4 linked regions of the Styela clava genome follow. The protein of the gene in region 1 interacts with the protein of each later gene in a biochemical or structural test. Links are inferred from orthologs where the notes say so. Each region holds a gene or a part of one and is shown in the gene's direction. Other genes may lie near its edges. The genes, in order: replication protein A 32 kDa subunit-A-like, cyclin-dependent kinase 1-like, serine-protein kinase ATM-like and E3 ubiquitin-protein ligase rfwd3.L-like.

Region 1 (7,181 bases):
AAAATTTTCAGAAATAAACATTTTTAACGTTTTTATTGTACAACTGTTTTAGATACACTCATCGTTGTTTATGGTCTGAAGTCTTTAATTTAACATAACACTAATGAAAGGCCAGGCAACCCCCCCAAAAAGGACAATTTCGTTCAGCATTGTTTTTGCCGTCGCTCCGACTATCGTTTACCCGAATAACCGGACAATTTAGAGTGTTAACGAAAGTTCTTTCACTGGTAATACCATCCCTAATACCTCACTATTTTCTTTCGGTAGGACTGTCCTTTTTTGGCCATTCGCCTGAGCACAAAAGTTCTGGATTTTCATTTCAATAGAGTTGAATTATGTAAGCCAGCCGATAATACGCTAATAAACAGTTTAGCATTTTATCAATCGGCTTTCATCTAATCGCACATTTGAGTCTAAAACTTATTCCTTACATCCTAGAAGGCTAACATACTCAATGGTATTTTTAAAACACATGATATGGATTTCAGAATATTTTAATATTGTTATTTGTTATTTATTTTAAACCGTCTATTGAAATTTATCTGAGATCAGAATCCAAAGACTTGGTCAAGAGCAAACATATATATATGCAAATTTGCGAACAGTTGCTAAAGTACAATTAAGTTATCAGACATTTCACACTTCAGACATAGAATGAACATATAATATCGTGTGGATTAAACTAAACAAAACTAAATGTGATGATATTGCAATCTTTCTTAAGACAAGATAATAAATAGAAAAGAAAAATCTTCTGATAAAATCATTTATATACAAATACACCTCGAAACTCTGACTTTGCGCGGTAGAAACAAGTAGTTACCAAATTTATTATGTGTACCACTACTGTTTTTATATAGATTCCAACGACTACCGAAAGAACGAAATGGCCTACTCCGTCATATAATGCTCCTGTTGAACTGTGTATAGTAAGAATAAAAACTATTCAAAAAATGTTATTTACGTTTCGAAACCCACCTCTGGAAATTGCGTAAAATATTGTATCCGTAACGCCTACGTTTTCGTCTTTCAAATGCGTCTGCTAGGATTCGGTCGGGGGAATTTCATTCTCTTCACAATGAACTGAAATATGAGGCATCATCAAAACAGTAAACAGCGTAATATTGCCGCAGCTTACTCATGTCCGGCCTTGACGATTCTCGGCTTACACAATCTGGTATATACAATAAACAAAAATCTGGCAATTCTGTCGTTTATGTGAAGCTGCTTGCTCAATTTAAAGTGAATTCGTTTGCCTAAGCCCTAATCAAATACATTCTATTTCACAATGCGCACCAATATTAAAAATACTCTGATGTTGTAAAGGTCCGAATGTGCATTGAAATATTTGAGATTCATTAATAAGAATTAATAGTTTAAATTAATTACTCATTTTATGCAACTAAAACCCCTATATTTCTTCATTTCTTTTCGCTATTTCGTTTCTTGGCCTGGGTCCCTCACCCAACGTTCCCAGGTGTTGGGGGCGATGGAAATAAAGTAGTGGGAATTTATATAGTGCCGCAAACTAAGGTACCTGTGACTACTAGAGGTATTTCTGTTTTGATATTCTCCTACTTGTATTTCAATGCGTTATTAAAAAATCAAATATATATATTGCAAATTTATTTTTGAATAAGTTCAACTCAGTCTTGTGAATACGGATAATAGCTTATATTGAAATTCATTGGGTTCAGTATTATTGTGATACTTTCATATTTTTTCTTTCACGAAAGTATAACAAAATAGCATAGACTGTCGTTCCCATGTAGGGCTTCTTTCGTTTGGATAGCTTTTTCAAACAATCCTGAAGTCTAGGTTCTATATTGAAAATCCGACGTTATCCTTGCTTTAAACTTCAATCTAGGATTATGAAATGTTCATAAAGTATATATAATAATAGAATATTCAATACTGTTGCTTCAAAACCTTCTGTATATATATATATTTCGTGAGTGCATGATTATATAATGCTAAAAATCTACAAGTTCAATCGTAAAAAGCCTGATTTCAACCACATGCTATATGTCTGTAATATTCAGTTTATGATGTGTGTTTGACATCTTATATATTTTTTTTTTTTTACAAAATTTCATTCATTCTCGTCGTATATTCATTCTCACATTTTACTGGGTAGGTTTAACAAGACGTTTGTTGTTTGATGACGTAGTGTGAAAAAAAAATTAAAACCAAGCATTCCCGTTAGTTGAAAATGGAAATAACCAGTGGTGGGATTCAGCCGGTTCGCACTCGTTCTATAGAACCGTCCCAACTGTATGAGATCAGCGAACCGGTCAGCATTACTGGCTACTGTCCATGACTTTTTGTAACAGAACCCGTTGAAAAATATGACTTTTGTGATGGAACCGCCTAACAAAAAAAATTGAATCCCACTACCGGAAATAACCTATATTTTGCTATAAACACGTACGTATCTGCTTATTTTAAAACCAAGTCCTAACTATTGCAGACAAATTTTCAATTTTGTTTTTAAACATATCATTGAAAGGGTTGTTGTACACTTTTCTGGAATTTTCTAACATTCATACTAGTGCGTCAATAGGCTTCTATGTACATGCAATAGAATAGCAAAATTTCGAATTTATTGTTTGTGTTTCTATGCAATTCATACTAAAAATGCACTCCCATACAAGTATTGGAATGACGTTAGACCAAGTGTTTTCCTTTTATTATTAGCTTAAGTTTTTGTTTCAATTTGAGTGAATAAAAATTTTACCTTCCATGGTAAATAAAGCATTGTGAGGCACATAGGCTATATGACACCAACGTCGTAGAGAATCTAGATGTTGTAATGGACCTTCCACGACCCTGTAAAATTTTTAAATAGCTTGGAATGAATACGAAATTGTAATTACACGCAAGATACGTACGCTAATCACCTAAGTAGATTGAATAGTAAATTTTTTCTCATTTTTATTTGAAATCTATTTTTTTAAAATAAACTGACCTACGATAAAAACAGCTCTGAAATAGTAAAAATATATTAATTATCAGATTGGCTGTTGCCTGGATAAATTAGTAGCCTATAGCTATATATCGATAGTTTATTACCATTTCACAAAATGAAGTTAAAGGGGTGGAATTTTTCAAATTAGGATAACTTCATGTATTCGGCCGTATTTAATTTTTTGAACGATATGTATTTTGGTCGAGAATTATGAACCTGAATGAAAAATTAAACAAAAACTGTAGTAGTTATTCAAGGGTGGGTAATTACTTTGCTGAGTGGGCCAGTTACAGATAATAGACTTGGCCGGAGGCTCGGAACTCAATATGAAAAACCATGATTAAAAAACTCTTTATTTACAACAGTTAATCCAACAGTCAGGCAAACATTTGCATAGTAATATAAAGCACAATGTAACAATCGGGGTCATTATGACGTTATTTCAACGGAAATTTATTTTCATAAAAATTATAGTCGTAATTTCAGCAGACACAAGTGGGCCGTAATTTACCCGTTTCTGACTGATATAAAATTTTAAATTGGTTATATTTTAGAACATGATCTTACAAGTTATAAACGAGACCTAGTGCGGAATCTACCAGTGAGCAGGGTACCCTGAGGTCTAAGAGCTCATGACCAGCATGTTTTTAACGCTTGACACAACGTTCGTGTTATTTAGAATAATTTAATGCCACATAAAAACTCCTGGAAATGATATTTAAAATGCCAAAAATGTTAGAACGTCCCCATAGTCGTCATTACCCTACGACCAGTGGTGAGATTCAAATTTTTTGTCAGCCGGTTTCTTCACAAAAGTCATATTTTTCAGCCGGTTCTGTTACAAACAGAACATTGACCAGAGTCATTGGCTCTGCATTGACAGTAACCAGTGTTGCTAACCGGTTCGCTGATCTCATAAAATTTCGTGAGACGGTTCAATAGAATCGGTGCGAACCGGCAGAATCCCACCACTGCCTACAACCGCAAACTATTCGTACCATTTTATCTACCGATAGAAAATACCGTACCCATCACTTTATTTAGCATTTGACGTTAACTTCATTGTCATATATTATGGAGTATATATACTATTAAGTCAATTCATCTTGGAAAGATATTTGTCCAACATGGGAAGTCCAACTATATTTCACACGGGAGGGAGCTAGAGTGCGAGCCCGCGAAAACCTGGAGGGAATATTAGAAAGAGAAGTGTTGGTCTGATGATTCACGAATTGGGGTAACGTACCGTAACGTTTCTGACCTTTAGGAGCAAACCGTTGGATAACCGGATTACCGTATATTGCTTGGTTCGTTCAGCTGTTCATGCTTGTTCGCTCAACCCGACAGTGAAGACCAAATAGAGAAATGTTTGGAGGGGGTGGTGGTAAGCATCCTCGTTTTGTTCTCTAATTTTCAGATTTTGGAGTTTTGACAAGAAAATTTGAAAACATACTGACATAGGCTAATATTTCTGAGCCTATATTTTTACTGGTAGTAGGGTGGTGTAGCCAGTCTGCGGACGATTTCATTCAAACCGCTACAAAACAAAAACCATTATTTCTAACCCCTTTAATTTGTTTCACCGTAGGTGCATTGGCATTTCCTCTACACGCTAAACTTTCTACGACCAGGGGTTAAAGCTATACAAACCACCAAAGTACAACACTCTGAAGACTTATTTGCGACCGAACGACCAGTGTGCGAACACGGATTTCAAGCCTTGAACATCGTTTCTGCTGCGCCGAGACTAGGGCATACGCAGCCATGCGTGAAAAAATGGGCTCCTAATTGCATTTCTGACCGTCATATATTTTAAGAACACGGTTATTTCGAACAAAACTCTTCAAATTATAAACAAAGCACCACATCACAGCAATCAAACAGACAAAAACACGGTGGTCGCAAATCGATCGACATTGGCTAGGATTATCGACGTATTGGAAATGCGCACCCCCTATTCCCCCTCCTTTAAATGTAGAAACGCTAAACTTTAAAGATGGTTGAAAGAAACACAACTCTACCTGCCAAGTTTCATCTTTTTATCTCTTATATTTGTATGAATTTTTAAGCTTTTTTAAAGGGACAATGGGTAGTTGGCGACATGGAAAAATGGTCCGTTTTTTTTTCCTCGGTTGTGTTTTCGGTCGAAACTTTTTTGTTTGTGGCTGCATTTTAGTGTAATTTCGCAGAGCTACGAAGAATAAGTGGACGATAACGCGTGAAAAATATCGTCGCGGTTTGTTAATTTTTTCGGCATTAATTTAATCGATGAAGTTGACGGTCGCAAATAGGTCGTGGCCGCAAAGTGGGTAAGCCACCCTAGACTACACAGTCAGGCAGTGGACTTGTTGGCCAATCCCAGACCAGCGGACTGGATTTCATGTCAGGTGCACGCCCGAGTACGCTAGTGCTTCGCAAAAATGCATGTAAGCAGACGAAATAACCGTTATTAAAATTTAAATGAGTGTTTAACCACCAAATTGCAAAAACATTCTCAAAATACATATTTGATACCGTAATGGTTAACTGTTTTGTGACTGATTCAACGTATTTTTAATCCAATAATTTTACACGAATTTTAAGAAGAGTATCTTAAGTAATAATCAGTTGCACGCGGGCTCAGTCGTTTTGCATGCAGCGATCTCTAACCGCACGCCAGGAAATCTGATTTGAGAATTTCTAATTGCATGCTCCATTTCTAGTGAAAAAAAATCTATGGAATACAGACTGGTGCACAGCTGCACAGAGAGATAATGCTGTAATTTACTTGTTCTTCAAACTGTCAAACAAGAAACCCATACAACTTAATATACATAGAATGAAAATTTAAATTTTTGATAAGTGATTGGGTGGTAATGATGTTGCCATTATTAATAAGGTTACCATCTAAAATTAGCAAAGCAGGATAAATATGTCATAATTTAATTTCCTCAAATTTTATGTTTTCAGGATTCGGCGGAGGTGGAGGGGGATACGGTGATGGAATGGGAGGAGGAGGATTTCAGCAAGGTGGATTCTCATCACCATCAGCTGGAGGAGATAAAACCAAGGTAAGAGCAATCATGACAAATGTTTTGATTTTGAAGTTGTGTTGTCAAGATTTGTTAATGATTTTCTTGCAAACGTGCTGAAATGGATGAACATTTTGTGATTGCGAATAAATTATTATTTAGAGTGCTGATTTTGTAAAATGTTTTGGAACCAATATTTATTCTAGATCATTTTAAAATATCCACATGATATTTTGATATTTTCAAGTAACTGTTGAGAATTAACAGAAGTTATTATTAATCTGAATCCTGGTTTTTAAACTGAAATTTTATTTTTCAACATTCATCTTTTTTCTCGAGAATCATTTTAAAAATTGACTGGATTTGATAAATTGATTTTTCTACATTCTGAAGAATTGCTAAAGATTGTTTGGCAAACAGATAATCATCCCTGGATTGCAAAGGATTTATTATTCTAGATTATGACTTTCTGAAATGATTTTTTTCTTCAATAGTTTATTCTCAAAGATCATTCCAAAAAATCAATTTAGTGTACCATCAAGAAACCTTTTTCTTATTGCCTTCGCTTCATATTATTATCAACTTTATTTCAGAAATTTCGTTCACAAAATATAGTTCCATTATCAACATCAGATATAGCTTCTCTCACACATGATGGGAACGGATTCTTCCTGGAAGATTTGGAAGTTGGCCAGGTATGTATTAGTGAACTTGAAAAACAAGAATAATATAGAGAAATCTGTACTCAAATACTAGTCTCCTAGAACAGTGTTTTGCAAACAGTGGGGCGCGCCCCACAAGGGCAGCATAGACAGTAAAAGTAATATGTATATGTAGTTTATTGTTAGCTATTTATTGTTGGTAGGGGGAGGGGGGGGGGGCGCAAGACTTGACAAATTTCAAAAAGGTGGCACGGTTTAAAAAGTTTGAGAGCCACTGCTCTAGAATAGAAATTACTTTCCGTGGACTTCCAGTTCCAAATATATTTTTGTAAACTTCTGACAAATTACATTACCTTAGGTTACATTACTGCTGACTTCGAAATACTTGATTAAAATTCATTCAAGATAGAAAATATTCAATTATGCCATTCCATCTTTTGCTGTAATGTTGTAATTTACTCCACATTTCTGAGTATAACTTGTCTTTTCAAGCATGCTTATGTTGTATTTGGTCTTGTAATATTTTTCGTTGTGCATTAA
Region 2 (7,949 bases), on another chromosome or scaffold:
ATGCGAACCAAGATGGCGGACATCGGAACGTAACATGGGTAACAGGTTAGGGTGAGGCGATAATTTTTTTTCCAATTTTCCTTATTTTAGTCCTATTATCAGGTCGAAGACTAGCCAAGAGCCTCCCGTAGCATTCATACCTAAAATTATGGCCTAACCCTAACCTAGTACACATGTTACATTCCGATGTCCGCCATCTTGGTTCGCATACTTCGGGAGCCCCCGTATTTCTTTGTTTAAACCAGAAAACAGATACGAACAGTATATTATTCCAGTAAGATATGAACTTGTTGCGACCCTGCATGTGGTCACGAGACGCACAAAAAAGCATGGGCCGCTGAGATCTTTTCCAGTACCTCAAGCAGCAGGCACAGTAGGATTGAAACTGGTGCCAAGTTACCGACGACTTTATCATTGTAATGTAATTCATTTCGTGAAAAAGAAAAAGCTTGATTAAAATTGTGATTCTACTTTACAGTCCAGATTTAAAAAAAACACTGTCACAATTTTTAATATCTCTTGATAACGAATATCCATCGCCCAGGTAATCGAGCAATCAAACTGTTGTCCCTATTTTCAACCAGTTACTTAGGCTTTACGCGAAAAGAAAACATTTTCATCACTAGCTTGAATTAAAACGAAGCAAGGAAGTCGACTGCACGCCGCTGCAGAGCTACGTATTGCAGAAATTTCTTTGCGGCCTCGTTTGCAATCCTATATTGGAAACGAAACAGCAGCAAAATTCTGACTAGAGGTAATTGTGTTTGTACATGTTTTTTAAATGAGTGTGTTATGTGTGCCTTTCTTAGGCATAATGGTTGCATAGCACCTCATTTCATTACGCAAATATATGATATTATTTTATGTTTCACCCATTTCAATTGTTGGCCGACACATTATTTGATATATACTTTTTCTTTGTGTGAAATGTTTTTAGGTGTGCCTTTTGTCTAGAAGCATATTGAGTGCCCGATATTACATTACTCGAATATATGATATTCTTTTCTGTTCCGCTCATTTCAATTTTTTGCCGGTACGCGAGTACATTTAATTTTACCGGTCCGCTAGGGTAGAAAGGTTGGGAACCACTGGTCTATGGGAGATACGCTTTTCAATACTTGTTCGAAGCTAATCTGCGATTTCCGAGACGCAGAATCCAACGAGTAGCAAAAATCTTTATGTGTGACATATCGCGAATAACTTACCTCATAATCATAACATTTCGGCGAAACTGAGATTCATAACATCGTAGGATTTTGTGTTTAAATGAAGCAATCAGTAATCAGTAGTTTATTTTTCACTATACCATCAAATAGGCACAAGCATACAAATTGCAATGAATTATAAATAGGTCACGTTTCAGGTTGAAGGCGGAAACCCAGTACTGGTTATCGAGCAGCGGCTGTATCAAAACATGGTCAAAATTGAGCCGTGATTAAGGAGACAAGGGCAGAATAGAACACGAGAAACGTATACAGCAGGTGCGTGCAACTGTTTTGCGCAATGGGCCACAAACTACAAGTATAGTGATACCGGGGGTCAGACCATCGAACAACTCATTAAACAATCCAAAACGATACTAAAATCTGAGCATTTGCTTATCCTGTCTTTTAGAGAAACTTCGATGTTTTCCGATAGATCGTCTATTCGTCGAGCCACTGTAAAACGAGGCAGACTTATTTGCTCCACTAAATTTTTCTTCTCCGTGGATACATTTTTGATGAATATCTTAAAACAATTCTTAATGAATTCACCATCGCTGTACGGCTTTCCTTTTTCCGCAATTGCTTCAGCTATCTTGAAGCTCAGTTTTGTAACTATCTCAGTGTCCTTGTAATCATGGAATACCTCTTGTTGTTTGCTCAAAGACTGTTTTAATTGCTGCATTTTGTCAACCCGTGATTGACCTACAATGCTATCGTAGCTAGCAGAGTTCGCTTTGCCAAATCAGGCAAACTAGATCTTGATTGTGTTGCACAATGAGGTATTTTACATAACACTCATTGTTGAATGTGCGCCTTTCATAACTTTCCCTTTCTTACTGGTGGACACTTGAACTTTGTTAGGCTTTTCGTATAATAACCTGCAATCATGAATTAAGATGCACATAAGCACATTATGCTGCAACAATGGGGGGTCGTCACAGTACTGTATAGTCTGAGTGTAGACGGAATTAAACTGTAGTGTGTTGTAGTCTTATACTGTAGTCAAAAATGCCAATAATGCCGTTGCAATTCAGAAAAAGTTTTTTAAATTAATAGTCTACGAAGTATGAAGTCGGTAGCGGTTATCTTGATTTTCCACCATTCATCCTGGTCCAGGATGCATTTACTAAATGGGTAAACAAATACTCAGAATAAATAGCGAAGTTGAAAACAAATAATTTATCTAAATACGAATATTCGGCGGTGTGATGCATATAAGCACTGGGAATGCGCTTGCCACAGGACCTCTGATTACCCTGATAGGGTTCTCAGGTTCAAATCGCGCCTTATCGCCTTCCCCTCCCCTAGATGAATAGAATCCTATCCTATTTTATCAAACCCTGGGGCGTCGCTAAATCCACACTGAGTAGTGTGCCAATAATATATGAACAAAATGCTTGATATAAATATTAAGACCATTTCACAGAATGTGAATGTGCGATTGCGGTTAATTTAAAGTTAAAAGAAAGCATAAACCTCGCATGGCTGCTTTGCGTACTCGAGCGTTTCAAACGAAACTTTTGATTTGACTTAAACAAGACGTCACTGGCTTGAGGCGTCCTGATTGGACGGAAGTCTCGATGCGCTATTTACGAATGTGCTGTACTAACTGCGGGTCTTAGGACTTTAAATTCAGAAATTGTTCTATTTTGCCTGTACTCCCGAGATTTATTCGTATTCGAAGTTAGTCTTGTATTAAGTTTAGGTGTGATGACCTTGTGGATCTGGAATCATGAACATATTTTATTAAACCTAGTAATTATGGGATGGTTACCGTATGTGCGAGAGGATTGCTGGACTCGTCGTCGTCGTTGGGTGGTCACGTAACCGCTGCCCGCTGGTCGGTTACGGCTTCCTCCACCACCAAGTCTATGCTTCCGAAAACAAACAATATAACTAATCCCATACCCGACTTGGAATGGTAACCAGACGAGAGGCTATGGTTCGCCATATGGATAAGCCGTCTTATCGGCTTTCCTTTCCCCGGGATAAATATGTAAATCCTATGTCTGTATGGGGTCTAGTATTAGTTACGGTATCAAGCAGTCAGGTGACGTCTAATTTCTGAATTTAAATGAAATATTGACTGGATTTCGGTGTTCCACTTTATTAGTGATTTTATAAAGGTAGACTATAGTGGCATAATATATATATAGGCTACCGGTACTACCAGTATTTAAAGAAATACAGAAATATGTTAAGAGCAAAGACAAAAATATTTCTCTTGTGTATCATGTCCGCATGTCAAAGGAAAGTATTGATGTGTTTTTCTTCCTGAAAATATGGTGATTACTCTTCTATGAACTGTATATGTGGCAATCAAAATGCCACTAAAGCAGATAACTCTTGTTATCTCTCGCAAGGTATATCCGCCTTCCATTCAGATTCAGTCATTACTGCATTATATCATCCGTTTATTTTTAGTGTTTGTGGAACCACGTCTCCCGGTCTCTGTTATATTATTTAAACTACATATCATATCAATATTTGCTATTAACAATAACAGTCGAAAAAAAATTCTAATTTGATTTTGCCAAGCGGTTAATATTTACAGTATTCATAACACAAAAAACCAAAAAGCAACAATTGAATGGTGCTTATTCAAAATACTGCACAGTCCTCCAATTCCAAGACTAGCCGCTATATTTAAAGACATCAATAATAACGTTGAATACAAACCCCTCCTATACGAGACATCCTGACAGCGTTGGCACTCCATACTGCCATACCGGTATCACCTCAAGATTAGCAAATCGATACTCTGTAATAAACTGAAAAAAAAAAATCTAAAAATGTCTTCTATCAGAGTCCTTTTTAAAAAATATTGGCTGAAAAAAATTTTATCATAGCAATGGCATCGCCCGAAATGACATCTGCGCCGTTCATAACGAACTTGCTACAGCCGGCGATCTCCAATCATGATCGTTGCGACGAGAAAGCTAGAGAAATAGCTTGCTCGATTCAGGTGATTGTTTGCGCGTTTTGGACGACCATTCGCATACTTCGGTGGGCCTTATTACGTCACTGTGACGTCGGAATGACTTAATTTTTCGGTGATGTAGTCAGGTCGGGGTTAGGATTGACATATGCAAAAATTATTGCATATGTCATACTATGCTAGGACAACTAGAAGTGCATGTGGTACTAAACTATATCAGACCCCTCGTTTCTGCGACAAATAAGTGTTTATCTAGCTATTGAGACATTCTTGGAATCTGATAACTGTGCCCTGATACCAAATTAGTAATTTTCTATTGAAGAGTTTTATAATCTTATATTTTACAACACAAATTATATAATCGCTCAAAATCATATTCTTCAATATAGTTTGTCGTTGTATTCATAGAGACCATAAACAGCATTGAAAAAAGTTAAATATATCTAAATAAATCCATACAAATACTCCTCAAAAACTGTCATATATTTGTGACCTTTGGTTAAGTTTGTATGGTTGTCAATATGAAGTAGTTGAACATCGCATAAAGCAAAGGCAATAAAATGACAAACGCCAAAATTAGTTTATGCTGGGATACTAATACAATTCTATTGCTATTTATGTAATTGTCCTTATATTAATATAGCATATAAGGTGGCTAACCAGTCTTTGAATGCAAATACTCTCTTTGTTTTAATTTCTGTATTTGTTACAAAATGTTTATGTAAAAATTACATTTTCATAACTAAGTAGCTAATGGAAAATCTTTTGATAAATTTTTATTTAATTTTATATTTTCAAGTGCTAATTTTGTTGCTGTGTGGATTAGCTTGGGGAAGCCTAGGCAGACACTGGGTGCGTACGGCAGTTCTTAATAATAATATATCTGCTAAATAAGCGAGTTACCATCAGATTCGTAACTAGTACTTTCAGAACTGCTTGCCGGATCCAACAAGATGGAAGATTATATCAAAATTGAGAAGATTGGTGAAGGTGGGACATATTTGTTTTCATTTAGGCTTCCAACATCTTCATAAACAAGCGCTTTACGAGCAATCACTAACACACTATGTTTCTAGACAGAATTTGAATATATTAATTTTATTACAGGTTACTCAGTCTTGTGCATAGAGTTTGAACCTTTAACCTTGGATCATATATACTTAACTTCAATTTAATATATCTATATTATTTATATTATCAGTGTATTAAGATTTGTTCATTTTGTTGTTTCTAGTTAAACAAATATACACTTTATTGCAGGCACCTATGGAGTGGTCTACAAAGGACGTAATAAGAAAACAAACCAGCATGTTGCACTGAAAAAGATTCGTCTTGAGAGTGAAGATGAGGGAGTGCCAAGTACCGCAATTCGAGAAATTTCCATTTTGAAAGAACTGGCTCATCCCAATATTGTTAGGTTTGTCTAACTTTTATTAAAACTTTATTTAAGTGTGCTGTTGAATTCTATCTTTCTGTCATATGGTCATCTTTTTCTTTCCATTAGATAATTCAGTTTTAGTTTTCTAATATTAATCTCAACTTCGAGTTATTGGAGTTGGATTGAAATTTCAATCCTTCGTCATTTCATGGTGATATTCAAAGTTCAAATTTTCTACAGTCCAATTATGTTGATAAATCATTGTTCTTATTAACGGTAAATTATTAAAGATGCATTGTATCTGCCAAAGTAGTTCGCAGCTTGAATCAAAAGTGACATTACCATCAACTTGTAATCAGAATTGTTTTCGGATATTGCTATTTTCATTTAATGCGTAATCTATCATTTTTAGTCTGCTTGACGTCCTCTTGCAAGAGTCCAAACTGTACTTGGTGTTCGAGTTTTTACAGATGGATTTGAAAAAGTACATGGATTCAATTCCATCTGGAAAATTTATGGACAAAGAGTTGGTAAAGGTAATCATCTATATTGCAGTACATCATAAAAAAAGAGGAGGGATATTTTAATTTTATAATGTGGGAAATGGGAGCTGACAAAAGCTGGCTATATAAATATTCAACTAGTTAATAGTTCCACTTATGCCTGTGTATCCATGTATGCTTTTAGGAGGAAATTCTTATATGAAGTATGACATTTTAGTATACTTTGTTTATCATATAACTATATTAATCCGTCGTGGGTTGCTTTGCTTTCATTGAATTTTATTGTTACATTTCTCGCCAACAGAGTTACACATACCAGATATTGCAAGGCATCACATTTTGTCACTCGCGTCGAGTGTTGCACAGAGATTTGAAGCCACAGAATCTATTGATTGACAAAAATGGCATCATCAAACTTGCAGATTTTGGTCTTGCTCGTGCCTTTGGGATCCCTGTCCGAATCTACACGCATGAGGTGTTCAATTTTGCTCTTATCATATCCCCCTTCATACTTGTTCTTATTCCGAAAAGTGTTTATTGATCAATGTTCCGTATATGACATAATGGTTACCAGCCAACATATTTAATTTAGGTTGGTACTTATGGTATAGGCTTTCCATAGATAGTATCACTGGACAGGTTTTGCAAGAATAGATCAAACATTAAGAACTAATCATTATCTTACATATGTGCGGATATTGCAATACTATGATATCATAGGAAAGAAAGTATCATATCTGATGGTAACTTATTAATATAACCAAATACTTCATGTTGATAACAGTCAAAGTTCTCCATATCCAGTTCATAAAATTCTTGCAAATAGCAGACTGTTCTAAGAATGGGATGCCAAGTTTCACATTCGAATTGTTATTTTTAGGTGATCACTCTCTGGTATCGAGCGCCAGAAATTTTGTTGGGATCCTCGAGATATTCTACTCCTGTTGATATTTGGAGTATTGGAACTATATTTGCTGAGATGGCAACAAAGAAACCTTTGTTTCATGGAGACTCAGAAATTGATCAATTGTTTCGAATATTCAGGTTCGAATTTCAGCTTTGTTATTTTATGGGTTTTCTGAGCATCTCCATTTTAAATATAGTTGAGTTGAGTTTATTTTTTCCACACGAGCACAAATTAAGAGAAAATGATAGTTTACACAGTTTTACTGTGGAAGGGAAGTCGCGGGGAACCAGAGCTGGTTATCGAGCAGCGATACCGGAAGTTCTATGCAAATTATTATCAGAAGTGGCATACGGAAAACTTCATTTTCATATCCCTTTGCTATTTCCATGAAAAAAAAATTCAGATTTCATGACATACTTTCAAAAACTCACTAAAACATGTAGAAACTGTCAAAAGCCATCAAGCTATTTCAATATCAATAATAGACCTTTTAGTTTTGGTCTGTGAGGATGAAGGCTCGACATCACTGCTCTGAATCCTAATTCTGCATAGTATTGAGAATATCATAACATGTCTTAATACTCTCAATATACACTTTCAAATCTTCTAGAGTGTTGGGAACTGCTACTGATGATGATTGGCCCGGAGTCACATCGCTGAAAGATTACAAACAAACATTCCCAAAATGGAAAAAAGGAAATATTGCGGATTCTGTTAAAAACCTCTCTGATGAAGGATTGGATTTGCTAATGGTATTCAGATGAGATATGTTTTACTTGTGTTTTTCGTGTACTTTCACATGCAGTACATGCAATTTGTATGGTTCATCATGAACACCTTATGGTGAATGGTGATGATGAAGTAGTTGGTCATTGAAATTAGGAATCTCATTCAATTATCTGGAAACTGGCTCTGTGAGATGTCCCAAGGTCATTATAGATGTCATTTAATAAATTTGTTGAATTTACCTGTAAAAAAAGTCTCTCAAGAAGTGGACTGAACTTCAAAGATTTTGCGA
Region 3 (6,845 bases), on another chromosome or scaffold:
CGGAATTCGAAAGATTCAATGACGTCATAGTGACGTCACATATACTCCCGTCCCAGGAAAATGTTACGCGAGTCAGGCACGAGTCAATGTGTCTAATTATATCTACGCACACACTATCTACACACCTACTTTCGCTCGATAAACACTACTCCGTCGGTACCCTCGTTCTGCGATATTGCTACTTGCGAGCGTCTCATTAAATACTAATCAAGATAGCTGCGTGCTCTGCGACGCCGTTTTCCCCGCACGACGTAAATGACCTAATTATATATCGGGGTAATCAACCATGTGAATAACTCTCAACAAGTTACCCTACAAAGAAAATAATAACTCAAGTTTTGCAAAATAAAGGGAGGAACTTTAATAAACGGCAGTCGCCGTTGCCATCGCCTGTTTTTTTTTTTTTAATAAACAAAACCATTCGTGCAGTCTGACATTTGCCGTACAAACTGAAATCTATAAAATAAGTTCGCATGTAGCAGATGAGTTCATGCAAAATAAACATCGCACAGAAAGAACGAAATTGAATATTAAACGCTAATCGCCGCCCGTCGACTTCGCATCATTTAAAATGTATAAAAAGAAAGGTTAGAAATTGTGTCGACGAACAAAGAAATGCGTGTGACGCTTTCAGGTTCACATATCACAGTTTTAGTCTTCTTCCGACGAGCTATCGTCGATGTTTATTAGTTGAGGCTGTACCAAGCTGGGCTTTGCCGTTTCCAACCCCCCTAAAATTGAATTTATACGTCGTTTCACGAGACCTCGTTCAGACGTCCCATCGCTTCCCATAAATCGGGCGGAAGCCTTGTTGACCAGATTTTCTCGAATGGCCCCGTCTTCGAACTGTTCTTTTCGCGTGGCAATTAATAGAAGATCTTTTATCATATTGTGTCCGAGATGTGATCGCCAATCAGTGAGAATTCGCCGTAAACAACTGAACCCTCTTTCGACAACAGCATTTGAGAATGGTAAGCAAAGCACTAACTCGACAACGATCAACAAATTTTTATACGCCTCCTTCTTTCGCTGGTGCAACTTGTGCCAAAAGTCGGTAGTGCTCAAATCTTTGTAAACCTCATTTCCCTGGACGTCATACTTCAAATCATCCCATTCTTTCAAGCATGCACCCTTCTCGCACCCAGCTGCGTGTAGAGGTACTTTGAAGTACTCAAAGACTTGTGAAAGATCTTGATTGCCATATTCAGGGACGGACGCATTAATCCCGCCATCCGACATCAAGATTTCAGGGTTCAGCCATGATAACTTACTCAAAATGTTTTCTTGTTCTTCTATTTCTGTAAATCGCTCGTCCAGGCAATCACGCAGATTTCTTATGCATTGCGATCTTGTTGTTTGGGATCTCTGGATGATGGTTTCCTCTGCAGAATGAAAAACCACGCTTTCCTCGTGTTCCAGGAGTCTGGCGGTCGGTGTTTCACGCCTTTTACAAGTAATGCGTATTGCCTTCGTTTGTCCACCATCTTCGTGTCTGGTAAAACGGAACGGAAGCGGAGTGCAATTTAGGTCGCCCCTGTCATAAGCATCGAGCGCTTCTCGCTCTGCAGGACCGCCGCGAAGTTCCATAGAAGTTAATTTCATTTTCAACCGTTTTATCTGCTTGATAGCGTCAATAATGGATGACCCGTCATGATCTGATTGTATTGCGATTGACGTGGCAGATACCCAATTTACGATATCCTCGTATTGGCGACATAGGATATAGAACTTGAAGCTGTGAAGATTAACAAGAAATTTCTCAGCCTTCATATCTGACTCAGCCTCCCTCTGGTTAGTGAAATGATGTATGTAAACAATCCAATTTGTTTTTAGCGCATGGAGTGCGTTGAGTGTGTGTGCCACAAATCTTGTGCCTTGCGACTTTGGTACACTAACAACCGCGGTCTGCAACTTTTCTGCCGCATTACATACGGCGGCCCATTCTTTAGGGCTATTCCGAAAATGATAATATATGTCAATAAGGAAGTCAATAACTTGTTTGAAATGGGGGGTCAATGCGTCTTTCGATGCTAGTTCAATTCGATGTGAATAGCAATGTACTTTGATTAGCCGACCAGGGCACACGTCCTCCCATTTTTTAAGTAAACCCGTTTTACGCCCAAAGTTAACAGCAGCGCCATCGGCGCCGGCCCCGATAATTTTTGAAGAAAAAGGCTTAATAAGTTCCACAAGATTTTCAATGGGTGTCTCACAATTTGTTGTTATATCGGGAATCAGGAAACTCAACAGAGAGCGCAATGTAGCGTGGTACAAATTGTTAGCGTCCACTCGAACATATTCCTTCATTGAAATCAAGTCAATTTCGTGTACAGCTGGTTTGCATTCGTGCGCTATTCTTATGTAAATTAGTTCCGACTCGTACGATAACTTGCGCTTGACGACTGTTGACCCATCCACCATCCAGCTAAAAAAATTTACTTTTTTGTGCACTTCATTTCTTATTGAGGACAATATCTCCTCCGCGAGAATATGTATAAAGGCTTTACAACCTTCTCTGTTACCATATGACGTGGTTATTTTGCCGCCATTGTCTGCGCACAGTTGTAATAAGTCCGCAAACGCATTGAAAGGCAGTTCCTTTCTAGAGACATACAGTGCAGTACGAACAAGAGGTTTTATGGCGTTCTCCGCCCTCTGTTTTTGGCAGCCCCATAAGCGAGCGATACTTGTTTGCGTCGGGAGCTTCCCATTCTCAATTTCGACACACTTTAAGTGGCCCTCGGAATTGAGGTGTCGTTCTAAATTATATCTTAAAATCCATATGGTGCCATTCTCCCCGTAAGTCGTCACATCATTAACAACTTTGCCTCCATAGCCGCGCTGTATTCTGTCACAATGTTTTTTGCATACAATGCATGCTGCATGTACGACTTTGGTATTATCTTCGTTGAAACCGAACGTAAAACTGTCCTTTAATCTGTTTGGCCAAAACTTCCAGGCCGCTACAGAGACGGACCTTGATTTTTCCTCCATTTACTCTAATCATACAATTTATAATATCTCCTGTGGTATTTTTAAACAAACAAAAAACGGTGTTACGCAAAAATACCCTTTTACCGGTAATTTACAACAAAACAGCCGTTAATATAACTAATTAATTACACTAGCCCTAGTCTCACCGACATCTCATCTTTGTTAGTCTGCAACACTTCTATTAAATTCATAATACGCATTCGCAGTCTGCCTTATTACAAGGGAACATTCTGCATTCGCCAACGCCAAGTCGTCTGGAGGCATGCCCGTGCTTGATTCCTCGCTTTTCGCTGTAATGTACTATTGTGACATCATAAACCATCGCCCGCAAACGATTTTACGTCACTAAAGAATAAAGAGAGAGAGGCGGCGGAAAAAATCGCCTCGGACTCTCGTGTACTGCTGGACGCGAGTAATGACGTTTTTTACGGGAGTAATAGCTAGACTCGGGTAGGGCAAAATACGCGAGTCTAGACTAGAGTATGACTCGCGTACTCGCGTAGATTTGCAAGCCTGCAGGTTGTGCGCCATCTTGGTGCACATACTTCTGGAGGTTCCTTTTTATCTAACCCTAACCCCAAAGCCAACCATATCCATATGGAAAATGTTCTAAATTATGGTACCCAAAATGTGTCACCAGCAGGGGCTGCTTTGTGTTTTCAATTTGCTGCCGTGGTACTCCAACTCAAAACAAGGTGCCCCGAACTCATTGCAAAATTTTTTTCTGCTTCACACTGTTTCCCTCTGTCTTGCGCTGTTTCCCTCTGTTTTCCGCTGTTTCGCGCTGTTTTGCGCTCTTTGCAATGTTTCGCGCTGTATTCAGTAAGTAGTAAGACCGCTCAACCCATGCTCCTGATTACATTGCACTAGTGTGTGTAGAATAGAACTCTACCCATATTTGCTTGTTCAAAATCACACTTGATATGTTTAACTTAAATTCATTCAATAAAACAAGTTACCCAAATAAGGGGTAGCTTGTCTGACCTGCTTTCCCACTTCTTTTTCGTTTCGATCATTTTATATTTTGCAATATAATTTCAATTTGTGCAAAATCCCATTATTTAAAAGAATGCTTCCATAATTGAAAATAGTAAATTCATGTAAATATTGTACATAGTATAAATCGTGAGAGACATTGATATATTGACACGAACCTGTTATTTTTATGCTTATTTAATATAATTGGGTGGCAACTGACCCTGATGACCCCCAAAGGTTGTATCGTTGCCCCCAGTCATATATCGAAAACTATTTTTTTGATATTTGTTCATGTGTGCATAAATTGTTTTCTCGGTTTGACAAAATGAAATAAACTCTCTCTCAAATGAACTTATTCAATACTGTACCGGTGATACGAGTAAAGTTACATAGTCGGGTGACTCGGATATTCCACAAACCCAGTACCGTGAGCTCAGTTTTTAAATTTTGATATGTCTGTATGTAGCGTCGATTATTGCAATATTCTTCAGTACCGATGACAGGATGAGTTATTTTGAGTAAACTCTGAGACCTGTAAGAAATTAATATTACAAAGGGAATTTTAATACTAGGGAGTTCAGACATTCAACGTATCGCTTCACAGTTAATCTTACATACTTGTGTACTTACAGTATTATGAATATTTAAATGTTGCATTTTTCATTGTTTCACATTCACTCATTTAAGTTGTTTTATTGTTTTTTAAATTGTGAATTTGCAGTTATTTACATACAGACATATGTATCAGTATCATGTGAAAATACAAAAATATGAGTGGAAAGTTGACTGAACTCTTCAATAATTGCTCTTTACTGGATTCATCAAAAATAACTGATCAAAACAAAGGTTTGAATGGGATTAAACTTTTTATTGAAGATTCAGAACTTGTGAGCAGATTGAATGAATCAACAGATTTCAAAAAAGGATGGAAATGGAATCAAGTATTCAAAACTGTTTATAATTATTTGGAAAAAGAATCTGGGACATTGTCCAAACAATATGAATCTTGGGCTCTTTCGACAAGAAACAATAAAATTAAAAAAGTGCAAGATGTACTTATCTTAACAAAAAGAATTCTACAAATTGCAAATGTTGACTTGGTTCGAATTAAAGTAACAGGTTTTTTAAATTTTCTTATCAATTGTTTACATTCAAATTTGTTTCGATTAAATTACGGTGTGATGATATTATCTTTAATAGATAAAGAAATTCTGGCTGAAAAAAAATACATCTGTGATTTAACGAAAGAAGTTTATGACAATCTTTTTAAGATTTGCATGCTCGAGTTGACGCAAGAAGGAAATGAAACGAAGTTTGCGTCATCTGTTTTGTTACGATCTTTAACACATGCTTTAGTTCTTCAATCAGTCCCTAGTAGTTATCACAATCTACATTCAATTTTTGTTAATGTGATAAAAGGTTTAACTAATGTAAAGACACCTACAATATGGGAGAATGTCCTTACAGCTGTGAATTTATATATAAAATGGTATGCAGTTTCTTACCGAATATCGTGTTGCCAACTTGGTGAAGATTGCATCGATACTATTATATGTATATGGATCGGAAATCTTTTACCAGAGTCCACATTAGGTCAAGTGATTGAATTTTGTTCTCGACAGATTACGTTGCATCATCCTAGGGGAAGCATAGACCCTTCTTCTTGTGCATACGCGAAAGATTATGCGACATGGCACACACAGCTGTTTTCTATTTTATTAGGAACAGAAATGCAGCTTTCAAAACAATCATGTTCTCTTTCATATAGATTGAAAACAGATAGAACTGTGGTATTTAACAAGGGATGTATTCAACTTGCTGCATCAGCATGTTCTGTCCTGTTTGACCTTCATTTGAATCAGAAATTCAAAGGTCAAAAATCAACACCCAATCAAGTTGGTGACCTTCTGTTGAACAAGATTAATTTTGATGATAAAAGTTCATTTTCAATAATATTTTCGTTTGACAAAGACAAAAAGGTAACAAATGCTGAACAGTATTGGATGGAAATTCTTTCCTGTCTACTGCAAGGAAATGAGGAGTTCTTGAATGTCACTGTTGCTTTAAAAATTGCTGCTCAATTCCAGCATCTCATTACAAAAGTAAATCTCAACATTATTGGAATTTATTGTTTAAAGTGTTTGAGTATTGTATTCAAGACTGTATCATGTCACATTCCAAAGGTCTTAAAATCCTTTGATTCTGAGTTAGCCATTATATGGAAAGATTGTTGGAATGTCGCCACCACCTTTTTATCACAAGCAACAAAATCAGTAATCAATAACACTGTTCTAGATCTTCTCACAACTCTTGTACGATTAGATGGAAAATGTAAAGCAAATTTTTTTATTGCAACAAGATGTGTAAAGAACACACAAAGCCTTTGGTCTTCTATATACTTACACATTGAACCAAATGATCATAGTTTGAAATTTGTCAAAGCTTTTATTGATACCTATGGTCTTAATTCTACCCAGGATGATAATAATTTCTTCTGCACACTCTTGCAAATGTTGACTGTCAATCCCACTTTTATGAACTGTGAACCTTACCGTGTGATGTCACAATGCGACCCACTTTGCGTATTATTATTACTTTGGATTTTGGGATATAAAGAAGAAGATTCTGACAGTTCTTCTCGTCAACAAAGTTTTACAAAATCTGAAAATTACAGTCAGACGCCTCTTCAAGATTCTCCGAAATTAATGCCCACTTTAAACATAGTTACATGCAAATCGGAAACAGATAAAATTGACACCGCTGAAATAGCCCAACTATTATTGGGCCTTTGTCAAAAAAGTATAATCTGTAATGGATGTCATGTAATCAAGTATGTGGATTCAATCTCCTCTGATACAGTCAATGATTCTTTT
Region 4 (7,256 bases), on another chromosome or scaffold:
TTTATAAGAAATAATTTTGTGGATGAACCAAACATACAGATGATTACCCCTGAAATAGGTATCAAAAATATGTATGAATAGGTAGGAAATTTTATGGTAATTCAACCAAGAATGGGTCACTGATGTTTTCATTATGGTGGGTCTTAATACTATGTAAATAACCTATGTACTTGAAACTTGAGTTGTTCTTGAGTACTTCGGTATTTAACCACAAAATAATCATTTTGATAAACTTCCTTTTTGTAACTAAAATGCTGATTTTCCACGGCTTCTCAGCCTCATATATTGAAAAAAAAGGAACATAGAGGCAGCTCTGCACAAAACTATCATTCTCTATGTCAAACAAATCATTACCCTTATGGATTAAACATTGATTGATTATCTGTGTACATCTTTCATGTTCTCTTCATTTCCTGTTGTAGAGTGTTAAGTTTGGAAGCATAACAGACATTCAGTGAAGTCCTGTTTGATAGGAAATATTTCAGTTCATAAAATCAAACTATTTGTATTCATAATATTTCATAGAATTTGTCTGCAATTGTCAAATTGTTTAATTTATGGTGTCTTCGTGTTCAGTAATTTGTTTCTGTGTCTGTACTCTGGAGTACATGCTCTATTGATTTTGGTGGTTAGGCTCGCCTTGCAAAATCAAAATCGCAGTGTGTAATTTATTGTGTGTACTTCAAAAAGTAATATCATTTTATCTTCATTAAGTAAAAACCAGAAAGTTGCTTTCATAATTCGCATTATTGTCTTAACACTTATAGATGAAGGGATTGCGTCTTACTGATAAATCGAGCAGTTGCTTTCGCAGATTCTGTTTCAGCTTGTTTTTTTTTGTTAGGAAGATATCCAGCGCTACTATTCGTTCTATTTTTGAAGACATGCTGGCCTCCCTTTTTTTGTTGTTGAATTTCAAAACACATCCCTATTTATAAGTGTCTGTTTGTCCAACTAATAGATTGTCTGGAGAAATGGTAAAAACACCTCACAAAGGAACTCATTCAACCTCTTTAGGATCAGAATTTTTGTTCATTCCCATTCTTATTTTCAGAATAATAGTAAAAAATTGAAGTAATAGTTTGAACATCCCTAATTACAATTTTGTGTCTGAGTGTCTGCTGCTTAAATTATTTTACGTAAAAATACATGCCTGGTTCTCTCGTACCTTTACCCATTGTACAAACTTTTGGCCAAATATGGTGTTTTTTTTCATATTCAGCGATTGTGTCAAAATAATTACTTCTACATGAATGTTGTTCCATTTATTTCAATCGATATTGAGTTCCTTTTGTGATTGTATTTTAATTATTTCATTTGGTAAAATGTGTCAGAATTTTTCATTCATATGTTATGCGTCTTTTTATAGCCAACGACTTCACTCTCATGGATAAAATTGGTAATCTGTATCGACGAAATTAATCCTAATTATTATACTGTCCCTCCAGCTTAATTTTTCAGTTCCTGAATTGAGAGAATTATAAATCATGTTATTTCAATTTGAAATATTTTCTGAATACAATTTATTTTAATAAGTGTGAACGAGGCTTTGGGCCTCATGGTCAATACGTATATATGACTTGCAATATATAGGGTGGTCTTTAAACTTCTTAAAATCGCGAAAGGAATTTATCGATACCATATATTATTTTGGCCCTCACAGATATATCAATTGAAGTAAAAATACTTATTTAATAATTACTGATTAAATAACAACAAACCTGATTAAGATATATTGAGAACTGACTTCATAACAAAATTGAAATTGTAAATAGACTTTATGGATACCCTGTATAATTAAGAAATCTTATCTTCCAATAATCTTGAGTTGTTTAACGGTGAAAAAAGATAAACTGATTTGAACTGCACTTTATTATGTCTGGATTTTCATTGGCAATAAGAATATCAGACTCATTTATGTGGGAGTTGTTTATTTAATCGTTGAAATTAGGAGATTTTTCAGAAACTGCCTTTGTTCGGACTTTATTTTAATTATCATGAATGTCTTGTTATTGTGTCATCGCTAATTTCCTGATATAATGTCCTTCATTTAGCGTGTCTTAGGCTAGAATAGTGGTTCCCAACCTGTTATGGCTCGTGGCTCCCTTTCGGAGGCTCTTAGCAATCATGACCCCTCTTCATCATTTCAGTGATATTTGTAGTGTTATTTTGATTGGTAGATTCTAAATCCGATCATGTTCAAACAATTTATGCGCAACAAAGTGAAAACACCCTGTGAAATTACCTTGTCATGCAATGAAACTGGGAAGAACGCAAGGGAAAGGTAAAATCAGTTTTGCACCTGGTTTTGTGGCCTTTTTTGTTTTGCTCTCCCTTGGAAAGCCTCCAATTGGGAACTGCTAGGCTAGAATAAGTTGGGCCAATGCCTCATCTTTTTAACCTAATCCTTGATGAACAGAATTAAGATAACAGATTGGAATATTAGTTATAGAACAATAACAGGACCCGATATTTATTTGTCTTTCTATTTTGTGTGTCTTATTATTTCACTGCTTTTATTTCAAACTGCAACATTTTTTCGTTGTCAAATATTGAGTGTGTTTTAGGACGCATAGGAATTTTTTTCAGTCATGACAATGTAGTAACTGAACCAATAAATATTGCAGATTGATTTGATTATTAGAAATCAAGGTGCCACTTTGGTATGCGATCTTAACAGGTGTGAAGTCTCATTAATTTTAGTATTAAATTGATTTTAACACTGACATATGCAAAAAAATCCGGTTCATTGAGTAATTCAAACTGGCCCGCCCGATGCTGCCACAACCAAAGTAAAACCAAATTTTGATGTTTCAAGCTAAAAAATAGCTCAAGGAATTCGGCAATTAAAATTAGTTTAAGCACGAGGCTTTTTTTCTTTTGTAATACTGTAAATATAGTTTTACGTCACACTTACATGGCCCTCCAGTCTAGCTGGGCAAAACTTTTGGCCCGTTGTTCAAAAACCTTGGCCACCCCCTGTTCTAACCCAACGATGATAGAAACTCGATTCTATGAGGTCTTTATGTGATTTAGATCATGTTTAGCAATTGAGATCACGAATTAAGTAGTTTTATGACACTTAGATCGCATACCAAGGTGCCATCGAATTGCAAATGATTTGAATTAAATGTTGTGGGATTCTGAATCAGTGTATTTGGTCTATCTTGTACATTGGTATGTTTTCCTGATTACATTCTCATTACTTGTAGATCTAGCATGAAATATCTTGAAAATACAAGATTCTTTTAATTCAAAAATCAATTCATTTCATTCTAAAAGTGTAATATATTTAATTTGGCCATTTATTTATTATGGATTGATTGTTTCGTATTTATTCTTGAATGATTTAACTTTGCTTACCTGGTTATTTAATGGGCGTTGAGTAATTTGTTATTCTGATATCTATGTTGGATATTAGAAATTGAAATCGTCTCATGTTTCGTTGCAAATTTTTGATTCAACTATAATGTAGTAGCCCTATTCTATTAGTAATGAGTATTTTAGTCATAAAACTGGCTTTAATAATTTTTTTTCATCTAAATTCTAATATTGTTCAAATTATAACTTCCTTCTACACTGGGAGGATTCTTAATTCATGACGAGAGACATTTTCTGGGTAAAAAGTGACAGATTGATTTAAGAAGCTGACACTCTCAATGATAGAAGTCCGAAAAGACTTTCCATTAATTCCAACCTTAAAAATTCACTCAATCTCAATGTTTTAATCTTCTCAATTGAACAAATTTGGTTGGCGGAAATCAGTATGTCCTCACATAGAAGCTGACCCCCTAAAAATGGCCCCAAAACAGTGAATTTATATAAATTCTCATATAGACTGACCCTACAAATCGCAACACGCCGTACACACCTATCGCAGCAAATGGTTGCATGAGAGAATTGATGAAAAACATAATGCTCCCATAAGCAGAATTTTTAGTGCCCATATAATTTGGCCCCTTAGTTTGGCACTTTTTTCTTATAGTTTTAAATTCAACTTATATATGAAGATATATGGTATGTTGAATTAGTTCTTGAATCTCAGCCGCCTTTTTTCCCAGTCTCTTTCAGTGCGTGATAAAGCCTGTCTTTCATTCATCCATGTTCGTTGCATACATATCTATGAGAAAGGATTATCATGTTTTGTGTTTTCTTTTCTTGTGTATAAATAGTTTTTCTTCTAGTGCCAATGGTAACCACTCTGCTTTTTTTTTGTCAAGGCAGTAAAAATGAAAATAATATAGTTTCAAAAAACGATAAATATTTTGAAGTATGTCAGACTATGATACTTCTGATGATTGGATAGACTGGAATCCCAATGGAATTCCATCGACCGATGATGAAACAGATAATGAAGATATTCAATCAGGTGAATATTTTTGATCAGGGTTTTTCAAACCGGGCCCTTTCGGGGGCTACGTAGCGTTTCTTGGTATGAAAAAGTGTGTAGTAACCAACGAAATTTGGAAGTTTTGAATGTTTTCGATTGTGATTTTTTTTTTCAAACTGGGCCTTTGAGGGCAGGGTTTATCATCATATTGGTAAAAGCTGAAAATGCTGACTCGCATATGTGTGTCGTTGTAGAAGCTATTAAAATTTTAATTCCCTTTTTTGTTAGCAATGGCTATTCGTCCTCAATGATTAACCAATATGATGCAATGGCTTTTTGATTGAAATCAATCATTGATCAGACTCTTTTCATATCGTTGCGGACCCTTGTGCTGTCATCACCTACCCCCAGAGGTCCGCGGACCCAAGTTTGGGGAACCCTGCTCTAGGGGGCTACGTAGCAGTTCTTGGTGTGAAAATTGTATAGTTACCAACAATATTTAAAAGTTTTGAACCATTGCTGACTGTTGAAAATAAAGTCTGATATTTTAATCAGTTTTGAGAATTATTTTTTTTTTCTATACTCAGAGGAGTTTTTTGCCGAAATTCATGATATGAGCTATAATAACATATTAACATAAGGCATGGTTTATTGTTTTATCCAGATTTGTCTCATGTAATTTTTTCGTTTTGGTTTCATTATTTAAAAATTCTTATTTCAACTATTTTTTTTATTTTCACTTCCAGAAACCAGTGACACAGATTCTAATGTAATGTTGCTAAACCACGAAAGGCACTTACAACGCAGAAATGCCCTCCCAAATATTCAAGACTCAAGTGAGATTGATACTTTGGATCAAAATGAAGAAAATGTCATTTCATCAGGTAGTTGAATTGTCCGAATTTTATGTGTATTAGAATTTTCCAATAATTTATATATATTGTTAGTTGGGTTGCGCGAGACTAACTTCCTATCCTTCCTCTGTGCCTTTATGGTAGTGGATCATATGCGATAATGCAATGATGCTGTAGCAGGAATAAATAGGAGTATACAATGCAATTCAAAAGTCCTGCTGCACACTAACACAAATATAATTCTGTAACGTTTCTTCTGACCAAAACCATGTTAGTGTGCAGCAGGAATTTTGAATTGCATGCAATTATACAATATAGTCGGGCTGAAATGAAAATTTCATCAAATGAGGGGCCTAGCAGATGTTTCATTATACTATTATACTAAGTCCTAGAAAAACTGTCACTTTATTAAATCATCCGTCATGAGTTCACAAGTTTGAGCCTCACACGGATGATTTTTACTAATGGATTGCTGGAATTCTTACTTTCCAGTGATTTCCAAATGACGGCCCATTGCGGCTTGCGCGACGATTCAATATGACCTGCCGAACGTAGGTCAATTAGTTTACCAATTTATATATTTTTTTTTTTGCGTTCTAGATACCGCCATTCGTTATGTCATTATCATAGTTTAAAAATTTGTATATTTGTCACAATTCAATTATACCAGTATCTTGATTATACATACCGTATCGGCCCCTTGCAGGGGATCCACATTCCTGGCCCGTGAATATCCTTCAGATGCTAATTTTGGCCCCCGGATAATCAACTTTGGGAAAAAATGTATTAAAACATCTCTGTATTACTTTGACGAATAAATATAAAAATTTGAGACAGTTACAGATGGGAAACCTTACCCGATTATCATAAAACCCACTTTCAGTAAACTCACGCATTTCCGCTTGCTTATAGGTGAAGAAACTGATCACGAAGAAGAAGAAGAAAATAATGGTGAAGAAGATTTATTATCAATTGCAAGTAATGGGTATAGATCAGCAGACAGTCAGCTAATTGGACAGACAGGTATTCTTCAAGTTACAATAGCTGGAGTGTGTTCTCCGAGTTTAGAATACCAGTGTACTAATTGCAACACAAAAAATTCATTTTTTTACTGCTAGGGGGGTAGTATTGTTGTTGTCAGATGTCAGATGAAAATGCGCTCACATAGGCAAAAATCCATATTTTTTTTTGCGTTTGTCGCTGCGGTAAATCTTTCACCGTTTTTATTACTGTAAGGCTATCTAGGCAAAAGCCGTATTCTCTACTCTTGCTGACTGATGTACGGTACATTTGAACGGTCAGTTTGGCTGATGCTAAAAACCTATGCAAGAACTCGTGTTATGCAATTCAATGTGTAGATGGAAAAACTACTGTAATTTCTTTGTGGGGCCCAGCTAAATGTCTGAAGTTGATTAAATGGCCCACCGAGCTAAAAAATATGCTCGAGGAATTTGTTGAGATTGCGATTAAATTTAGTTTTGAGACGAAATTTTGTTTTCTACTTTTGCTTTTATAACACTGCAAATATTATTCATAAAATGTAAATTTTTACGGCCACACTTACATGGCCCGCCAGTCTTTTGGTCTCTGGTCCAAACACCTTGCCCAATCCTGATCTAGCTGAAACTTTACCAAAGCATTTTGATCATTTCAGCCCTACCAGAAACAACAACAACCTCAAGACCTCTGACCCCCGTGCCATCCACATCAACAAAACGTAAGCAATCATCACCTCGACCTAATCCGAGCCCAAAGAAAACGAAAGAATCGTCGTTATCTCAAGAAGAAGACGGAGATTGTTGTCCAATTTGTTTCGAACATTGGTCAAACAGTGGAAAACACAGACTGTCATCACTGAAGTAAGTGACATTTTTATTTATAAAAGAAATGAACCATATTTTTACTATCAACGAGTTATGCATTACACAATACTATAACGCCATTGGGAATTCGACTGATTAAGAACCTGGAAGGTTATCCAGCCTTGTCCTATGGCTACGAGTGAAAGTGCTGATCCCACCAGTATCTCAGGCATAGGGTTGGAAGCACACTTTTTTTTGGGGTTAATAATT

What was found.
Region 2: of the proteins of replication protein A 32 kDa subunit-A-like (region 1) and cyclin-dependent kinase 1-like, one has a biochemical effect on the other in vitro, tested with the Homo sapiens proteins (2 studies listed by BioGRID). The link is inferred for Styela clava from reciprocal best matches to the Homo sapiens genes RPA2 and CDK1.
Region 3: of the proteins of replication protein A 32 kDa subunit-A-like (region 1) and serine-protein kinase ATM-like, one has a biochemical effect on the other in vitro, tested with the Homo sapiens proteins (3 studies listed by BioGRID). The link is inferred for Styela clava from reciprocal best matches to the Homo sapiens genes RPA2 and ATM.
Region 4: the proteins of replication protein A 32 kDa subunit-A-like (region 1) and E3 ubiquitin-protein ligase rfwd3.L-like form a complex in vitro, tested with the Homo sapiens proteins (3 studies listed by BioGRID, with this or other methods). The link is inferred for Styela clava from reciprocal best matches to the Homo sapiens genes RPA2 and RFWD3.

The regions. Positions count from the first base shown.
Region 1 is NC_135250.1:25,185,009-25,192,189, forward strand, and holds the start of replication protein A 32 kDa subunit-A-like, read left to right. Parts: upstream 1-4,163; 5' UTR 4,164-4,333; coding exon 4,334-4,352; intron 4,353-5,917; coding exon 5,918-6,018; intron 6,019-6,572; coding exon 6,573-6,674; intron 6,675-7,181. UniProt on the Homo sapiens protein: As part of the heterotrimeric replication protein A complex (RPA/RP-A), binds and stabilizes single-stranded DNA intermediates that form during DNA replication or upon DNA stress.
Region 2 is NC_135260.1:19,957,874-19,965,822, forward strand, and holds the start of cyclin-dependent kinase 1-like, read left to right. Parts: upstream 1-4,922; 5' UTR 4,923-5,096; coding exon 5,097-5,133; intron 5,134-5,403; coding exon 5,404-5,560; intron 5,561-5,933; coding exon 5,934-6,057; intron 6,058-6,328; coding exon 6,329-6,499; intron 6,500-6,904; coding exon 6,905-7,068; intron 7,069-7,541; coding exon 7,542-7,683; intron 7,684-7,949. UniProt on the Homo sapiens protein: Plays a key role in the control of the eukaryotic cell cycle by modulating the centrosome cycle as well as mitotic onset; promotes G2-M transition via association with multiple interphase cyclins.
Region 3 is NC_135262.1:13,263,084-13,269,928, reverse strand, and holds the start of serine-protein kinase ATM-like, read left to right. Parts: upstream 1-3,824; 5' UTR 3,825-4,742; coding exon 4,743-6,845. Other genes in the region: zinc finger protein 862-like, read right to left, coding at 652-2,994.
Region 4 is NC_135262.1:4,158,972-4,166,227, reverse strand, and holds the start of E3 ubiquitin-protein ligase rfwd3.L-like, read left to right. Parts: upstream 1-4,230; 5' UTR 4,231-4,272; coding exon 4,273-4,369; intron 4,370-5,076; coding exon 5,077-5,214; intron 5,215-6,096; coding exon 6,097-6,207; intron 6,208-6,838; coding exon 6,839-7,043; intron 7,044-7,256. UniProt on the Homo sapiens protein: E3 ubiquitin-protein ligase required for the repair of DNA interstrand cross-links (ICL) in response to DNA damage. Plays a key role in RPA-mediated DNA damage signaling and repair.